Drosophila melanogaster: one gene and its partner. The protein of the gene in region 2 binds, or shares a complex with, the protein of the main gene of each other region. Each region holds a gene or a part of one and is shown on either strand. Other genes may lie near its edges.

Region 1 (6,298 bases), on a different chromosome or scaffold from region 2:
TTCACCGAACCATAGCCTCAGCACTTTAATTTTATTCCTTTTGCAATGGTTTCCTTTCGTTGGGAAGCACTCCGTCTTTGCCTAAATGTATCTACATATCGGTGAAATCCTCCACGGCACGCAAACGGTTGGGTTGGAAAAAATGTTTTACACGGATTTCGCACGAAAGATACATTTTCCGCTGTATTGTCTTTGGTTGCGAGAAGCTATGTGATTTGCTGCCTTCGGGCTTGTTTGCTTTTTCATCGGGCTCCGGAGGAATTCATTGTTTTAAACAGGCTAGTGTAGATTTTTACTGTGGCAATTCACGACGAATCGAATGATGACGAGAAGTTCCCGAACTTTTTAGTACACAAAATGCCAAAACAGGCGACTTAGCACCAAAATATCTACTTATACAACACCACTTTCGAACACAGCCAACCGAAGTAAACAAACACATGCAAACTCGGGCCCCATATGAGGCGCATGCGCCCCAAAATCCCAGCTTAAAGTTCGCCCAGCAACAAGACTATCGATAAGAGCCAGTTTCAACCGTTAACAAAATCAATATATACATATATATATATATCTCTTTGATAAGGAATCAACATATATATTCAGTTCCGTAAACATTCTCTTTTATTGTATCAACTGGCATTACTTTTTTAAAGCATTTTTAACACTTCCTTAAGTTATGGCTCAACACATTTTGCATACATTTGATTTAGTTATTTGTGATACTTCTGAAGTTGCGGGGCCGATAGCTTGACCTTTCCTGGTATATTCCTGGCCAACGACTCTTCCTTTATACTTTTCAGTAAGTCCTTCTCACGAGCACTGCAGCTCTTCTCCTTTGCGAAGATATTAAGTGCTAGTTTCGCCGCCTTTCCTCTTTTTCCCGTACCTGGGGTGAGCTTTACTTTAAACCTAAAAAGGATATCACATTTACAATAAACATTTTATGCGAACTTTCAGTATAGCCTACTTGTAGTTTTGCAAAGCCTGATAGGGAGCAACGACTGGAATCGCGAACAGCAGCTCATCTCCTTCGTGCGGCTGTCCAGTCAGACTGTTGAGTACATCCACATCCCCACCGACGGGCACTTCATCAGCATCGTCCAGTTCCACTGGGTTTTTGGGAGCTGCACTTTTTTCTGGCTTCACGTACTCCTTGGTTGACTCACTTTTCTCCACCACTTTATCGGCACTGGCCTGTGGCTTTTCCTTACCCGATGACTTGAGAATCATCATGCGAATTTCCCGCTCTTCATCATCTTGATCCTTGTATTTTTGCTTCATTTTCTTGAGCTTTCCCTTCTGACCTCTCTTAACTTGAGATGGATTTTTTGGTTCACTACTCACAGGAGGGACTTCCTGCTTGGCAGCTTCTTGTTTCGCCCGTGCCTTGTCTTCCTTGGTCTTTTTGGCACTTACTTGCTTTTTACGACTTGGACCAGCCAAAATAATGGTCGTTTCTTCATCGTCCGTCTTTTTCAAAATTTTGTCTAGGACAACTTCACTCTCTTTAGTCTCTTCAATCTCTGGATTTACGGAGTCGGATCTGACTATAATGCGACCAGTATCGTGCTCAATCTTAACTTCTGTATTGGGAAAAGCTGTAATTTCGGTATTGGAGCTTGGTTCCGATAGATTTATATTTGAATCAGCGTCTTCATTATCCGACAAAAGATCATGTTCAACTTCGTTTTCTTTAACATTTGGATCTATTTGATCATCCTCCAGGCTTCTAACTTTACGCTCTCCCAAATGGCGCTCAATGAAGCTATCCTCCAACTTGAAAAGTAAACTTAGACCCATGGTCAGGTGGCAGGAGGGAAGGAAGTTCTTCTTTCCTCTGATCATAAAGCTTCCCGTTGCCAAGTACTCTCCAGTCGGTGCAGTTTTGCTGACCTGATCGCTTGTTACCCAGTACGAGTTGGTAACCACTTTGGCATCCCAAGCAACACTGTACGAAATAGCCATGGATCCTGCCTCTAGCAACGTTTTGGGAGGTATTTCTTCTCCTGTGGGATTTTGAATAATAACACTCGAGGCGCCTTGAATCTCAGCGTGCACATAAATGTCTTTCGGACGCATATATCTGGAATAACAACATGTCATAATTATAAATACTTCGATCTATTTAAGTAATTGAAAGCAAACCTTTTAACAATAAGCTCGTTCTGCTGGGCATCTCTTCCTCCAATAACCAAATAATTTTCAGAGCTGATAAACCAGTAAAACTTTTCAAACCAGAAAACTTTCCGTGCCTTTACTATGTTCGATATAGTCCTCACTTCCTTGAGCGTCTGCTGCGTCTTGCGCTCCGCAGACTTAAGAGCTTTTTGGGAAGCATCTACAGTTTTCTTTTCTTTTTGAGCAGCCGAACGTTTCATATCGTAGTATCGACGGGCATTGGCCCAAGCAGACAGAGCCAAGTCGACATCCACAACAGTAACCTCTGGATCCTTAAGATCGTCGTCTTCATCGTTGTCATATGGATCGCTGAGCATAAGGGATATATGATTAGTCTCCAGTTTAAGCTGCTTTATGGAACTAGCTACAGCATCGCCATTTGCCTGTGCCTCCTTTACAAGCTCGTGAATATCCGGCCAGGATAATTGACTGGCAATAGCTGACTGAACAGCCCGAATTGCATTATCCACCAGACTTTGATTGGACGTTATTAGCTCTGCTTTCTTTCTGTCCACATCTTGGACTTTTGTCAATTCCTCTAGACGCTTTGCGTGGTCATTCTTGACATTAGACAGCTTTTTTAGTGCCTCACGCTCTTGCTGTAGCGTTTTCATGTCAATCTTTTGCGACTCTTGCGTAGAGTAAAATTCATCAACGGCTTCCATAAAGGACTCAAATGTGGCCTTTTCAAAGTTTTTGAATTGAATAAAGAGGTAGGGATGAAATTCGATGTTTCTAAAGAAAAACTCCACCGTTCCATTCTCTGTAGGCTTTTCCTCTTTAACTTGAATAATGTAGCCTTTACTTTTTCCACTATTTCCCTCAGCTATAAGCTCTTGAGCATCCTAAAAGATTGCACAGAACGTTTTATTTACTTTAACAGCAATAATAAATATTTCCACGATATTGTTCTTACCTTTACTGCTTGCTGAAGAATTGGCAAGTCATTAACCATGTCAAATGGTTTCTGTTCCAGTTTCGTATTCTGTTGCTTCTTACGTTGCTTTTTACCGCCCTTCTCCGGCTTGTCCTCCGCCTCCGGCGTTTCTTCCGTTGTTTCCTTTTTGATAACGTGATTGTCCAAGCCGTGTGAGAGGAGAACATGCTCTATAACTGCCGGACCACAGTCCAAGTTGGGTGTTAGAATCTGTCGCAAATAGTCGCCGTTCCTGGCATTTTCCAACAGCTTAACCAAAGCTTCCAGTTCCAGTTCCTTCGTGGGCTGTTTGGCCCGTTCCACGGGATATTTCTCGCGCATGGCGAAGCGCAGGTTCTCGCCCTCCGTATGCGGACGCAAAATATATAACGTGGTCAGCTCGTAGTCGGTGAGGATCACATTACCACGATCGTAGAGCTCCAAAATAACATGGTAGGCGGCATCACCGGTACCGAACTGAAAGTCAACAATACGATCGCTACCCATCTGTTGAACCTTTTCCAGGCGCTTGTTCTTCAAGTGCTTCCTCAACTTCATGCTGAAACCGGACGGAGCCATGTTCTTGGGCCATTCGAACCTAGTGGTATGGAATCTTGTACCAGATTCTATTAGCAGAGTGACCTTCTCCACTGCACCGGTCCCTTGCATCCGGAAGAGGTAGGTCTTGTTATCCACGTCATAGATCTGATTCACTCGCCAGCCGACCAGCCTGGAATATAAATGTAGATGTACCATTATTCCTGGGCATCGGAATTATCCGGATTTTTTACATACTTTTGCAGTTCCGCCACTCCGCAGATTATATCGAAGGTATTGAAACGTGTCTTCATGGTTCTTTATGGAAAGTTGACGATGTCAACACGGAAAGTGAAGAAAAAAGAATCTATCTGGCAACTTAACTTATCATTAAATATTCACAAGTTCGCTATCTACGTTAGATAAGTTAAATTAGTTTAATAGGGAATAATAACAATTTTATTCACTTGCGAAATTAAGTATCGGTGTAAATTGCGATGGACGAACTTTAAACAAAATATATCGATTGTATGCTGTTGATGATTCGGATTGTCAGAATGAATTCGCTGTATAATTACTATGTATTAAATATTTGTATTGTTTATGCAATGAGTAAGAAGCTTCTTTGATTTATCTAAAAAGTTATTAAGCATTTAATAAAGTTTCAGTCAGCTGTTTCCCTTTCCGTGGACTATTCCACTTCGTTCCGATAAGAAATCGATACATAGGTAGTCGGAAAATGGAACTGCTGTGTCATCGCCAATCTTCATTTGTAAATATGAATGCGGATGGACCTGTTGTCAACGTGCACGTGTTGTTCTTTGCTAAATCCCGTGAATTAGCAAACACTCCCCGGTCGACAGTGGAAGTTCCTACTGAAATTACTGCCACCGAACTGCTGGACCACCTGGTGTCCAAATTTGGCCTGACCTCCATCCGGGATAACTTGATTTTGGCCCACAACGAGTCGTACATTGACAACCTGAGTGATAGAATTCTGTTTAAGGAAGGAGACGAACTCGCCATCATACCGCCACTGAGTGGAGGCTAACCTTTCCGCCATGGATCACGTGAAATTGGTAAACGACCCCATAGATATCGCTCATATCCATCAGTTGCTGGCCGATGAAGGCTGTGGAGCCTCATCCGTTTTCGTGGGCACTACGCGCGATAATTTTCAAGGGAAAAAGGTGGCTTCATTATCTCAATCAATTGATTTCATTGATTCATTTGTACTTTTCGACCTTTCAGGTGCTGTCATTGGCGTACGAGGCCTACGATAGCATGGCACTCAAGGAAATGAATAAAATATGCTCAGATCTCCGATCTAAGTGGCTCGATCTGAAGCACATAGTCATATATCATCGATTGGGAACAGTGCCCGTATGCGAAGCCAGTGTAGTTATAGCCGCCTCGTCACCACATCGTTCTGAGGCCTTAGAATCAGTATCTTTTGCAATAGACCAGCTAAAAACTCGGGTTCCCATCTGGAAAAAGGAAATCTACGACGGCGATAACGACAGCGAATGGAAGGAGAACAAGGAGTCCATCAGGCCTAGTAAGATCTTATGAGTAGCCAGCATGACATGTATTCTTATTATTTGTACACTTGTAAATATAATTAACAATCGAGCGTTTACGATTTTATTGGCTTCTCTCTCATCTGTGCATGTACATTGTAGAGAAATCGAAAAGTGGCTTCAACTACGCCGCTTGTCCCTGCAAAGTTGAGGAGTCACATGACGTCCCGCGAACTCTGGTGCAAATTAGAGTTAATGACGCTGAGTTAACCAAGCGTTTAGAATGTTTTGTCAACAGAAAACGAGACGAAATAAACTCACAAAATGTAATTGACTTCAAATCGTCTTTTGTCAGCTCAGACCAAAACTTGAGCGATTCCTGCGCTCGAACGCAGAGCACAATTATTAAGCAGGAGCAGTCAAATTGCCATTTAAAAGGTGGGTAAACGATGCTCTATTTTCATAACTATAGCCACTTTGGTCTACAAACAACCTATCACAGTCCGACGAGTAAACAACCGATGCGGACCTCAGCAAATGGAAATGCGACCCAACTACGAACTCGAACTGAATAAACTAATGGGATCGCGTGACGGTCAAACGGATCCAACCAAAGAAATGAGGAAATCGCTACCCAATTCACGACTACAGGCAATTGAATCGTACATGGGTCTAACCACCGACAACGAGGAAAACATTTTCAGTAGAATCAAACGAGTGGAAAATAGACTGCTGCAACTGGAGTCCATTTCGCCCGAGTACAGACACTTCGTAGGTTCTTAAAACATTTCCTGTAATTGCAGTTCTAAAAAAATTCAATCTATTCTCAGACCAAACGTGAACCGTCATCTATGGAAGCCGCGCCGCCGAAGAAGAGCCGAAAGAAATCGTATTCGGCGCAAGAATTAAGTGCATTCATTCAAAAGATTAAGGATGGCAGCGAATTAAGCTAATAAAAACCTAATTAATTATTATTCCTTGGTTTGTAATTGATGTAAATTTATTTCAACATTCCAACTATTTGTAATAGTTTTTTTTATGCGTAAATGATGAGAGTGAAAAATGCAAAAATTTTTGTTTACAACTAAGGAATATGGATAAGCGTGGCTGATTTGTTTCTGTTTATTAATCGGTCGTCAAGCTTCAT
Region 2 (4,974 bases):
CATTTTTTGAGCACATCAGCATTTGGATCACAATAGTCCTCGGTCAACTCATCCTCTGGGTCGTTGGTGTCTTGAGGTGGTGGGAATTGATAGACGAGCTTGTAGATTGTAGAAAAGTTGAGTGTGGAACGTTGAAGCAATGGTAGTATTTCATTTCTTGAGAGGCAAGCATTTTCGAACGGAACTCCCGCAGTCACAGATCCGTGCAAGGCTTCTAGGAGTACACAATGGTTCTCAAACTGTTGAACCTTGTCAGTCGTTTTTAGGGGCGTTTCCAGAAGAGCAGTTAATGTTTCATCGATTCGCTCCAAGCGCTTATACTCATCTTCAATATTTTCCGTTGAGCAAATAACAAACTTGGCCATCGCCTCTGCCATTCCATCCAAAGTATCCGCTTTAAGTTCTGCTGAATTTGCCAATTCCTCAACAATCCCTGCGCAACACTTTAGCATGTCATCATCGATTTCGATATCTTTGCTAGAAAGTCCATCCTGCCAGCAAGTGGTAATTTCCCACAGAGTATCCTCCGACAGATAATCCTCTGGTCGGTGCTCCAAACTAAATTTGAACAGTTTGAGGAAGATGTGTTGGCGCACGTGCAGCGAAGAGTTATTGTTGCTGCAAATCACAGGCATTATCTGGGCAATAAAACTGCCACACACTTCCACCGCGTCATCGACAACCGGTTGCTCCAAGGGTCCGCACATGGACAGCAGTATTTTATCCACAGTTTTAGCATTAATGAGTATGTCTCCCGTGTCAGTTTGGAAAAAACACTTGTGAAGCAAGTTCAGCTTCTCCCGATCATTGTCTACAACAACCTCCTCAGCTATCCGCGCAATCATTTCACAAGTTTCCGGACCACTTAGCATTTGCCTCACGGCGGCCTCGGCGCATAGGGGATATGATAGTAGACGATGCAGCAAAAGATTTTGCACGCCATGTTGTGGAAGCTGTAAAGAATAATAATAATTTAATATTTTTTTTATACACTTTAAAATTGGTAACTACCTTCATGAGAGTGTTTTCAATATATTCAAAGCGTTTTCCAGTCTCTAGCAGCGGCAGGATTTCAAACACGATCTCCACCACAGATTCACAGGCCTGACAACTTAGTTGACCTAGCAGTGACACAAATTTATTTAACGCCGACGCAAGGTCTCCATCATCAGTTAAACTTTTGTAGAACGCGGCATCGTTAAACATTTTTGTAAGCGTTCGAATTTGTTCGATGTAACGCGAGCTCGAAGTACCACTCCCACTGCCTTTGTTGGCCTTATCCAGGCATATGCGCACTAACTTTATAACCAACTGCTTCAATTCCTTTTGTATAAAAGCAGCAGCTTCTTGAGCCTTTTTAACTGGTGTTGTGGGTTCGCTCTTCTCGATCTTTTCGTTTGGCCCCTCGACAAACTTCACACTCGGCGACTCCAGGCTAGGATTAGCCATATGCAGATCCTGCACTAAAAGCAAGACATGTCCGAGCAGTTGCTCATTCACCTCCTCGGCCGATAGGTCTTGTGTGACCAGCTCAAAGATGCGTATCCAGAACTTGTTCAGCAATTTGGCATAAAGGTCACCATTATCCAATCTATTATTAATCTGACGATCCCAGAAGGCCACCAGGGCTGAACTGTGCTGGAAGAAAATTTTTACATGCGTGCTATCGCTTTTGAGCAGCCAGGCAATGGGTTCAAGTACGTTGTTATCGAGTAGGCTAAAGGAAAATTCCTCCTCCTTCTGCTCTCGCTGTTTGTTGTTGTTAATCTGCTGCATCAAGAAGCGTAGGCACTCAAAATATGCATTATGTATCACAATACAATCGGATTTGGAAAGCGGAGGATCGAATTTCTTAGTGACTGCCAGCTTCATGTCGTCAAAGAAGCGCTGATAGAAATCGTAGATATCCAGGTCTTGAAGGGATGCTTGTGTAACTTTCGACAAAAATGGCAGCAGATTGGGACAGATGGCCTGGGCGTTGCGATTGAAACCATTTTGGAGCAAAGACGAAAGTTTGGGGAGAAGTGTCTTGCGAATGTTCAGTGGAACGAACCTACAAATATTAAACTTTATTATTGGAATTCACTTATAGTAGATCCTAGGTCTTACCAATCTACGTAGTTACTTTGTAGGAGCAGAACGCACCCCCAAATGTGGGGAGCCACCACGGGATCTGCATCGTCAATAAACTGAAAGCAGAGGTTAGTCAGCTGCGTCTTCTGAGGCGTGATCACATCCAAAAGTGCAACCGATTGCAGGATGTGATATATGCACTCGAACCAGGCGGCTCTATAAAATGTGAAACAGAAATTAAATACATGGTAAATGACTTGTCTGTTTACTTACTTAATGGCAGGCACTTTATGCTTGGCGAAGCTCCAGAACTTCTGGTGTGCCACCAGGGTGCCGAAGCCCTCCTTGACCTGGCTGAGCTCCTCCGTCTGCGCAGTTTGCCCCATGAAAAAGGACAACAGCTTGAGACTACTGATGATAACGCGCTGGTACTTCTGTTCCGCATCCTCCGGAGTGAGACTTTTCCCAATCGACAGAGTAGCGGCTGTGTGGAAGGTCAGGTTACGTGTGGCGTACTCGAGAATCTCCACCTGACAGTGCATGCAGACTTCCCGAGATCGGTTGGCGTTGCCAGCAAAGGTGTCTCGAAAGGATTGGCTCGCAATACTGGCCGCCGGAGCGTAGGTATCAAATCGGCTGCCCAGCCAAACGGGCACAAGTAACTTTAGATATGGAGCCATCGCCTTTTTACACTTGGCCATGAGCAACTGCAGCACAGTCTGTGTCTGTTCGCGAACAGTGTGCTCCGGATCGCTAGCCAGATTGAGGTAGTACTTGGGCCACAGAGGCAGAATGTTCTTGAGGACCTCCACGTCAGACTGCTCGATCAGTTCGTGTAGCTCCTGCAGCGCCTTCTTCTTCGTCATTGGATCCTTTTTGGACAGCTTTCGAAGGATGATCTGCGTTTGCGGACTGATGGCCGCATCAAAGCTGTCCGGCATTTGTTCGGCGCTGGCGAATCCCGGAGCAAATGGCACCAGGCCACCGCCGTCCGTCTGCGCCGAGAATCCCACGAATATGGGCGTGGAACTGCCCAGCAGCTCGGCTGTTCGGCTGCTGCTCGAGGGCTGGATGATGGGGGGTCGAGGGCACGGTTAAATAACATATTAATACCTTACTACGCCTTACCTTGGCATTATTTTTGGTGCGCGGCGCTTGTTTTGTCTTTCCACCCATTTCTCTCTTCTTCTTCTGTCTCTTCCTCTTATCGATAGCACGTGGCAGGTCCGGCAACCATTTGTGTTCGTATTTCGCAGAGGTCTGGCAGCCTTACTGTCGGTATTTTAAATACCAAAACACTGATTTCAATGGCACGAATCGCCCTGTGGTTTAGTTTTGGATGCCGCTTTGCACGTGCTGCAATTGTTTTCAATTCAATTAAATAATGTCCAAATTCCTGTCCTACTACAACCTGTTTCCCATCCCCGACCCCAAGGAGTTTCTGGGCCTAGCTGCAGACAGGGAAAATGGCAATGTGGTGACTACGTTGGCGCGCAACGTGGTGGTTGTTTTGAACGTGCGTTTGGACACCAAAATATCAAAATGCCCATGTAACAAACGCGATTTCCTTATAGATCAGCACACAAAAGCAGTTGCTCAGTTGGTCCCTGCCGGAGAAGCTTTCCTCCAAGGTTATATACGATCCCAGCAGCCAGAAGTATGTGGGCGTCTTTGGAAATCACGCGCTGCGTCTTTGGGATGTGGACACCAGTGATGTGTCCAAGTGCAAGAAGCTGAAGGTATGGGCAGCTAAAATTCAGCATATAATTGTGGATAATACGCTTTCCTTACAGTTTCAGAAAAGCATCGCTCACGTGGTGGCAACCGAACAGGAGGCATTAATCCTCTACAGCGATGGCGAGTGCCAAACCCTTTCCCAGGCATTGGCTTCGAGAAAGGACCAGAAGGAGGATACGGCTGAGCAACTGGCCCTAGCCGCCAGCAAGGTCATCAGCAAGCCCACAGTCCACGCATTGGCCCAGGGCCAGCAGGTGCTCACATATTTCGAGGAAACAAAGGCCACCGGCGAAATGCAGCTTATCCGCCTCTCCCTGGACACGGCTGACCGGCGGAAGTACCTCATTAAGCGGGAAGAGGTTCGCCTCACGGGATATGCTGTCGTCGAGGGCGATGCAGATCCTCAGTTGCTGACCATTTGTAAGTAACTTTAGTTATATCAGTGTGAGGAATGAGTTTTGATGTAAGAACGAAAACTATAAATTTATTTAATTTTACAGGGTCTGATAAACGCATCTTCATGCTTAACCTGGCGGAGGCCACATCAGAGCGATCCCCTGGACAATTCGTATCTATGCTGGCCGAGCTGAATGTGGAGAGCAAGCTATCCGTGCACGGAGTCTCACGAAACTTTGCTGCCATCTACGGCGCCAACTATGGGCAGGAAGGCGCCTCTCTGTTGGTTTATAACACTCAGTTTAAGGTGGTGAACGCGAAGCAGTACTTTAAAGTGTACCTGGACTTCTCTCGCCTTTGGGCCGGGAATGAGCACATCCTTTTGGCCATGGGGCATAATATAGCGGCGGTCCGTTACCGAATGAACCGGGAGGTGCTGGTGGACATGTTGGGCTCTCAGTTTAGTGATACTCACCTCTCGCCTATTGAATTGGATCACATAAACGAGGAGGAGTATCTGGAGTCGCTTATTAAGTTTGATGGTAGTACGAAACCCTTAAATTATAGAGCTGTGAAATCCCAGTTAAATAAGCAGATGCCCAACTTGGACTACCAAAAAGCTGATGGCCGGGAGTTGGCTTACGATCCTCCCGAGGTAGTGGATCAAGAGATCGACGAAATTATCAAACAGCATGTTCATGGAGAGGCGACCATTTGCGAGAATGGGCTGGAGGACGTGAGTGTCACTCTAATGACGAACTTCTTTGA

What was found.
Region 1: Ltn1 (region 2) and Clbn share a complex: the UniProt entries of both Drosophila melanogaster proteins name them as parts of the ribosome quality control complex.

What each region holds. Positions count from the first base shown.
Region 1 is NT_033777.3:25,125,458-25,131,755, reverse strand, and holds Clbn (caliban), read right to left. Parts: upstream 4,255-6,298; 5' UTR 4,139-4,254; intron 4,127-4,138; exon of another isoform or gene 3,999-4,126; 5' UTR 3,946-3,998; coding exon 3,890-3,945; intron 3,825-3,889; coding exon 3,095-3,824; intron 3,024-3,094; coding exon 2,146-3,023; intron 2,084-2,145; coding exon 968-2,083; intron 910-967; coding exon 711-909; 3' UTR 601-710; downstream 1-600. Other genes in the region: Mocs2A (molybdenum cofactor synthesis 2A), read left to right, coding at 4,410-4,682; Mocs2B (molybdenum cofactor synthesis 2B), read left to right, coding at 4,693-4,821, 4,883-5,189, 5,314-5,589, 5,654-5,922, 5,982-6,104. UniProt on the Drosophila melanogaster protein: Key component of the ribosome quality control complex (RQC), a ribosome-associated complex that mediates the extraction of incompletely synthesized nascent chains from stalled ribosomes as well as their ubiquitin-mediated proteasomal degradation.
Region 2 is NT_037436.4:19,549,019-19,553,992, forward strand, and holds the start of Ltn1 (listerin E3 ubiquitin protein ligase 1), read right to left. Parts: upstream 3,273-4,974; 5' UTR 3,250-3,272; coding exon 3,202-3,249; intron 3,141-3,201; coding exon 2,347-3,140; intron 2,290-2,346; coding exon 2,110-2,289; intron 2,054-2,109; coding exon 1,012-2,053; intron 954-1,011; coding exon 1-953. Other genes in the region: CG9300 (uncharacterized protein), read left to right, coding at 3,458-3,589, 3,648-3,812, 3,867-4,230, 4,311-4,974. UniProt on the Drosophila melanogaster protein: E3 ubiquitin-protein ligase component of the ribosome quality control complex (RQC), a ribosome-associated complex that mediates ubiquitination and extraction of incompletely synthesized nascent chains for proteasomal degradation.